Linked DNA regions of Arabidopsis thaliana. The gene in region 1 interacts genetically with each later gene. Each region holds a gene or a part of one and is shown on either strand. Other genes may lie near its edges. The genes, in order: CSN5A and RAC10.

Region 1 (3,932 bases):
TTTAAGTCAATTTCATGGATCCATTAACCGCAAGGGGAAATAGGATCAGCATTGTCAGATTGTATTTACTCACCTGTGACATTAGTCCATGGACCTGCTCGACAGTTATCTTTGCACTATCCCGAGTTATCTTCGCGAGTTGAGGCTCATCCTGAAAGTGGTCCACAACACATATACTTAGGTAATGTAATCTCCAAAACAAATGTTTTTATGTAAAGAAGATTAAAACAATATCAAAATGAGTCACACAGCCAGAGATAACAGAACTCTAGGAAGCAGACATAGACTATTGGCAACAACTCGTTGACAAATTGATACATCAAAGTCTCCCTGTTTTACTAGTTCAAACTTTAATAGCTCTGTATATTTTTGACTAAACATACACTCAATTGTGAAATTTCAAACCCAGAAAAGGTAAAACATAGTGTTTTGCAGGTAGAGTTTCTATTAGTCAATATCCAGTCAACATAATGCCTAAGAATAAAAAGTTCAAATTTAATCCAAGTTGCTAGATGTTGATAGTAGCAGTTAATTAGCCAAATGAAAAGTTTCTACACAGGAACAAGCTTGAAAAGTGGCAAGTGTATGAGCTCAAGATCATGGTCCAGTATCTCAGACAGTCAATAAACATTGAGAACATAACAAATAATTTTGCTAAAGCAACCATTTAGACAAACCTCTTTCCTCCTTTGGTGACCGGCTGGCGCAATTCCTCCATACCGGGAGTTAGCGAGCTGACTCTCCGCTTGCTCGAGCTTCTCAGCTTCATCATGTAAACAATTAAATGGTAAGAAAAGAGGATATATCAAACTACGACCTGGATGAAAAGTAAATTAACTTGCTCTTTCATATATACAAGAATTTACCCAAGTCTGATATTTGCCCGGCAACATAGTCTCCATTGCCCAACAGTGGGGAAGAAGAAAGAGTGTTCACCCAGTACTTGTTCCAAAGGAGATCCAGAAGGTGACTATCGAGAGATGACTTGAAATAAGTGATGTCCAATGAGTAGTACTGCCACATACAAAAAAAATGAATCATAAGATCGATGATTAAAACCCTCCCAAGTTTTAAAATCGATAAATAAGAATTATACATACCTGTTTGCAATGTACACCAAAGTCCTCAATCTTGTTAAGAGGGATAGTCTGATACTCAGAAACATGATCATCCGAGATCTTATGTCCCTCTGGATATGTTCTGAATGCCCCAATCTCAACCTTACCAGCCGAAACAGTCCTTGTTGGATCAATAACAACAGCTAAGAATGGCTCCTGATACTGTTGGTTAAGCATCTGTGTCGAAACATCAATACCCGAGAGCCAACATCCATACCCAGGGTGAGAGTGATACCATCCAACAACGTTCTCCAACCTCCCAGCCTATAGTTCAAAGTTACAGTCATAACCAATCAATCAAACACTCGCAAAATCTTGCATAAAGGATCCAAGTAGCAACTAGCTAATTAAACAAGGAGCTACAGCGAGAGATGAATAAGAGATATCTTACCAGCTTGCTGGTCTGAGAGTATTCAACCATATACTCATAGGCATCAGACTGAGCATTAACCCTAGTCTCAGTACCTTCAACAGGCAAAGCAAAAGCATCCATAACGATGATTGTATCACCCTCGGTTTTACCCTGCATAAGACCCATGATCTCGATTGTGCCACCGGAGCGAGCGTGAACCACCATCTTGAGAAGAGCAAGGGCTGAGATGTGAACGCGCTTGAAGTAGTTAGGATCGGAGGCCCATGGCTTCTCCTGCTGGATTTTGGCTTGTGAAGCGTCGTCGTAGTGGAATATACTGTCGGAGGCTGAATCGGTTGGTTCCACTGGGAGAATGTTGTTCTCTAGCTCCCATGTCTTCCTCGCGATGGCTGACGAGGAACCTTCCATTGAAATCGACTTCGAAGAGTAGAATAAATCTAGGGTTTTGCTTAATCGCGAGAATTGATTTGAGGGTTTGAGTCAGAAAGAAAGAAGAAGGCAAACAAATAGAGAGAGATCTTTGGGTTCTTGGGTTAAACCGGTTTGCGAGAACAAAACTCAAAATGGATTTACTTAATATGGGATTTGGGGACTAATGCTAATCCAAAACATTAACCATATAAAATTTTTATGGAAATTTAATATTGTACATTTTTTATTAAATATTTTTCCCTTTTTATTTTTAGTTTGTTTAACTTTTATAGAAATCAATGTTGGCAAATCAAAGGATAAATTCCAGTCATTGTATCAACCAATTGGTATAGAAATCAATGTTGGCAACACATAGATTTGGCATACAATATCTTAAATCACAAAGCGTAAAAGAAGAGTAATGCATCTCATGCATATTTCTTGAGATATCCACACATGCATAATTTCACCAATGTAGTAAGCTTATTTTGATAGCATGTTCAACTTATATATTGTGTGAATTATGCTTGACTTTATGGCATAGACGTTGATCTTTAGCTATAAAGTCAAGCTTTTGTCTTCTCATTCTATCATCGATCAAAGCATCTAAATCACTTTCCTCTCTTTTCTTCTCTTGTTTGTGTCAGAACTCAGAGAGTATAACATAAGGTTAGCTTTCGATCAGTTTTTTATTTTGAGTGTTGCGAATCAAAAGAAAAATTAGTTTTAGCATTAGACCTAAATATTTGTACAAGGACACAGTGTAATATTTGTAAAGCAATTAACATAGAACAAATAATGAAACACAACAATACTATAAAGATGTTTTGAGTTAAGGAGAGAGATCATCAAAGTGCTTGCTTAAATTTCTACCGTGTTGTTGTGTTTCATTACTTGCTTAAATGCTTAATGATAACTGCTTTAAAAATATTAGATTGTCTTCATGTACCAACATTCAGGTCCTACATCCAAAATATTATACAAGACAAAGAATTCACTACAATATAAATACGCTAAAATTTAAGAGCAGCCTCAATTATATGCATATACTAAGATTATGGCCGCCCCTGCTATGCTGATACAAAATAAATGCCAAATTACATCATATATCAAAATATTTTGGCAAAATAAAACATAATTGCCTTTAGTTGGATTTTGAAAAAAAAAATGGAAGATCTTCTGAGTTTGTGAGAAAGAAGAGCAATAAAGAAGAAGTTAATGCATCTGTTTGACTGTTACAATTACTTATAAAAAAAAAAGTGGAAGAAAGTTTAGAGGAGAGGATACATTTTGAGATCATGGGGAAGGAGTGGTTGCTAACAAAGTGGTAATAGAATTAGATTACGTGAAAGTATAAAAGTAAAATTTGAAAGTTTTGTGACATGTGGTAAATGTTGCTGTTTTTGAAAGTGTTGTCCCATTTGAAAGTTTTGTCACATTCGGTAAAATTTGAAAGTTTTGTTACATGCAGTTTTGAAAGTTTTGTCACATTCGGTAAAATTTGAAAGTTTTGTTACATGCAGTTTTTGTTAAAATGACGGTTAATTTAGAGGGGGGTGGGAGGGGGAGGGTAAGTAGTTATATGATTTTGATGATTTTGTAGAAGTGTATTCAATCTAGTATTTTAAGTGATTTGTGTAAAATTTATCAATCATGGATTTTAAAAACTCTATTAAAATCAAGTGTTATTGAACTAACGATTTTAAAATTTACTTTTAAATCAACTGTTATTGAAAACAAATCTCATGATTGTAGATGGAATTTGAAAAGATTGTACAATTAATCACATCAACTTTCTTAAAATTATAGAAATCTTTTCAAATTCTATCTAAAACCATGAGATTTGAATTTGTGTATTTGTAACTAAAGAAGTTTTCTCAAATCTTTCAAGATGAATAAGAATCAACTCCACAAACTGTTTTCAATAACAATTGATTTTAAAGTTAATTTTTAAATTATTAGTTTAATAACATTGGATTTCATTAAAGTTTTTAAAATCTATAATTAAATAACATAAAGTTTGTAAATTT
Region 2 (3,932 bases), on another chromosome or scaffold:
TCTCTCTTCAAGGTAACTATTGATTGATTAGAGGCTAATAATCTCTTACATGATTCAATCTATATAATATAAAGTCTCTCGTTTATCACACAATCTCAAAAGTGGAGTTTAAAATCATCAGACTGAGTTGGGTCATCGTCATCAATGCCGAGTCACTATCCTCCCACACAGAACATTTCTGCACATACAAAATAAACACAAAGGTGAAATCAGTACCCTTCATAAGATTGTAGATGCAGAGTTTGTAAAGATTTGTATATATACTCACGATAAACAGCCGTGATTCGACTTTTGCTTCTTCTTCTTCTTAGTCTTCTCCTTTTGTTTAACCAGAGGTTTGATCACTTCCTTTATCGCAGAATCAAAAACTGCTTTCACATTCTGCAATATATAAACTTCATCGCTTTGTTAATCCGAAGAAAAGAGTAACATAAAGAAGCTGCCTCATATACCTGTTGAGTTTTTGAACTACACTCAATGTAATACGTCGCACCAATTAGCTTACGCAACTCCTCTCCCTATCAGATAGAAATGTTCATTTAGTTAATACCATCAAGCCTTATAGTGGAATTATATGAAATCTAAAGTAAAAAGGCTCTTTAAGACTAAACCTGTGCAGTAGTTACAGGGGATAGTCCAGGATGATCAGCCAAATAATGCTTATCTTCACGAAGATCTACACCAGTGTTGTAAGAATCATTAGCTATGAATTGTAACTAAACGGTTAAGAGGAATCTGTTGGTAAATGCTCATCGGTTATTCTTACCTAATTTGGTACCAACAAGGACAAGGGGAACTCCTGGAGCAAAGTGTTGGAGTTCAGGGATCCACTGACTCAATAAGAACAGTCATATAACATTAGAAATGACTCATTCTGACACTATAAGAGTCTTATCGTTTTCAACAATTAGAGAAAAGGATCATTTATTCAATCAGACCTTTTTAAAAACATTCTCGTAGCTAGCTCGGCTGACTAATGAGAAAGACAAGACGAAAACATCTGCTCCCCTGTAACTTAAAGGCCTTAATCTGTTATAGTCTTCTTGCCCTGCAAACAAAGGATATACATATGTAACCTCATATGAGACAAAGCTATTCAATGGATCTCATTTATCAACCAAATGAAAGAACTAGACCAATAAGAATGTTATAAACCACTATAGGATTCAAGACTCAGAAAGAGTGTTCATACCAGCAGTGTCCCAAAGCCCCAAATTGACAGTGGTGCCTTCAACAACAACATTTGCACTAAAGTTGTCAAAAACTGTTGGTATGTAGTCCTGTTACAAACAATTCATCAAATCAATACACAGTTTCAAACTTTCAATCATCAAATCAAGCATATATACATATAATAATAATAATAATAGCAATGAAGAAAAAGTCTGACGAATCCAGACTCCAGAGGATGTTAAATGAAAAAAGATAACATAAAGCTGGACTATACACAAAAGCTGCAAAAACCCAGATGCGCCACACATACTTATGAAAAGTAAAAAAAATCAAAATCTCCAAAAATGGATCTTATATCATGCACAGTTCCTAGGAAAAAGGAGCTAACTTTGACATACCCAGATAGATTCTAAGAACCTTTATGGCAATAAGAAGCTGAAATTTAGTAGACCCAGATACTGAAATTGATTAAAATTTTGTAAAATTTGAGCTAAATCTGATAAATCCAGATGAGATTCCTGATCAAAATTCAAGAGAGAAAGAGAGGTCTTTTTAAAGAGAACTTACAGTGGGGAATTTATTGCTGGTGTAGCAGATGAGCATACAGGTTTTACCAACAGCACCATCACCAACAGTCACACACTTGATGAACTTTGAAGCACTTGAAGCCATTTTGATCTCAAAACAAACATACAAAGCAAATACCAAAAGGAAGCAAAAGAAATAGAGAGAGAGAGAGAGATAAATGAAGTGAGATTACTTAAAAAGAGGAGTAAAAGATAAATAAACCCTCTTTAGAGCATAGAAGAAGGTAGGGTTTGTTGCATAAATTTATGGCTTTTTTTTCTGTTCCTTTTTTACTTTTTTCTGTTTGTTTTTTCAATATTTCCAATTAGATAAACGAAATTGTTTATTGGTATTTGGTGGCTTGTTTTTGGTTTGAACTTGAAGATAGAGAAAGAGCGGTGATGACTCACATGATCCATCGTCCAAGCTTTCCTTTTCCAAATTCTTGTAGTTCATTTATTACTCCAACGAGCAAATTTGCATTGGAATTTGTTAACCAAATCTTGGTGGTTCAATCTTGTTTTTTTTTTTTTAAGTGTTTATTACACTTGTATTGGATTGTAAGAAAATGAAATAATGTGTATTACATACAAGTATGGCGTTACGAATCGAATTATAAGAGAAGGTAGATATTCGTCAAGTTAATAATAGTGTCACGTTGAGCCACACAGTGACAAGTGAAGATGGATATACCATATTTGTATACATTAACATGTACTGTCGAATACATGTTTTGCTATTTTTGTTTTTCTCTCGAGACTTACATATCATATAATGTATATAGCATAACTTACAAGCTAGGGTTACAAAATATATAAAATAATAGAATATCATAGCAACAAAAATTTATAGCAAAATCACTAAGACCAACCTTTCAACATTACTTATATCACAATTCACAAGTGTAAAACTGATAATTCTAAAATTGTAATTTTAGTTTAGGATATTCATTTATTATATTAGGATATATGGATTTTTTTATGTGGACCTACTTTTAAAAAAACTTATCATCTAATTTAATTTACTCAAGATATTTAAAATTGCCAACAAGAGTTTCGTTGGCAACAACCAGCAATAAAAATTCTCAATATTCACAAAGCAACTTTTAATACAGTTATTAAAAATTGAATACTCTTACCAAATAGTTCCTTTTTGTTTGTTTATGGATATAATTGCAGACTCATGGTTTAGAAAGTAAAAGTGTTTTTGTCATGTGTTTAAATAATCATTTATAGGTGGATGTTGGAGCCAAACTGTGTGAACATCTACCAAAAGCAGAAGATAAATGATTTTATTTTATAAGGTAAGTTAATTATTGGAGTAATACCTACGACTATATCGACGGCGACGCAACCACCATAAATATGAAAATGCAAAAGTATTGTTAACTAGAGAGGTCTTCAAAAGGACGACCACGGGAACTTATCGCTCTCTGGTCCAATATTTTAGTATTTTGCAAGTTATTTCCACCAAAAGCTCCAAAATACAAGTACAAATTAAAGTAGCTGATTAATAATACAATACAATGACAAAAGTATGGCCTAAACCAGATAAATATAGAGACTAGTAAGAACGAAAATCGCAAAAGGAGACTAGTAATCACATTAAACTAAATCAATATATGTGTATGTGTGTACAAGTGAATCCATAACTTTTGGTCTCTAAGGAAGACATGTAACAGGAGCATATGTCGTGCTGGTGTAAGGATAGCGTCATTGAAAAGAAACAAGAACAAACGATAAATATATATTTCCACAACAGTTGATGCGCGTAAAAGCAAAACGTGATTAACAGTGGAAATTATCCATAAAGTGAAAAAGACTTGAAGATCACAAATCCGAGTTTTGGCAGTAAGAAATATGGTTATTGGATTTGAAGTTGGGTTAATATTGAAAAAGTAAAAGTTTTTTCGAATATATCATATGAACTCAACAAACAAATGCAACGGGCCCGACAACTCAATATATGGGCCACATCCGAAACGAGCCGACCCACGTAATGGAAGTCCCTTGCCAGGTCACGTGTTTTCTCCCTCTTTGTTCCTATCGGTCCCTTCTTTTATTGTTTTCTTTAATTTGCTGTTTCTTTTGGTCTTATGAATTTTGAACCATTCTTATGAATCTGAAGGTGAATCGATTCTTCGGTACAGTTTTCTCTCTAGAACATGTAAATCGTTATGTAGTTCCTTAATA

The links.
Region 2: of CSN5A (region 1) and RAC10, a change in one rescues a mutant of the other (synthetic rescue), as found in Arabidopsis thaliana (one study listed by BioGRID).

Annotation. Positions count from the first base shown.
Region 1 is NC_003070.9:8,109,997-8,113,928, forward strand, and holds the start of CSN5A (COP9 signalosome 5A), read right to left. Parts: upstream 2,066-3,932; 5' UTR 1,900-2,065; coding exon 1,510-1,899; intron 1,383-1,509; coding exon 1,101-1,382; intron 1,015-1,100; coding exon 867-1,014; intron 764-866; coding exon 678-763; intron 152-677; coding exon 74-151; coding exon of another isoform or gene 2-73; exon of another isoform or gene 1-1. UniProt on the Arabidopsis thaliana protein: Probable protease subunit of the COP9 signalosome complex (CSN), a complex involved in various cellular and developmental processes such as photomorphogenesis and auxin and jasmonate responses.
Region 2 is NC_003076.8:25,235,149-25,239,080, reverse strand, and holds the start of RAC10 (RAC-like 10), read right to left. Parts: upstream 2,119-3,932; 5' UTR 1,846-2,118; coding exon 1,741-1,845; intron 1,281-1,740; coding exon 1,193-1,280; intron 1,049-1,192; coding exon 939-1,048; intron 831-938; coding exon 767-830; intron 677-766; coding exon 612-676; intron 519-611; coding exon 453-518; coding exon of another isoform or gene 382-452; coding exon 269-381; intron 179-268; coding exon 142-178; 3' UTR 1-141. UniProt on the Arabidopsis thaliana protein: Involved in local disassembly of cortical microtubules when associated with ICR5 and KIN13A.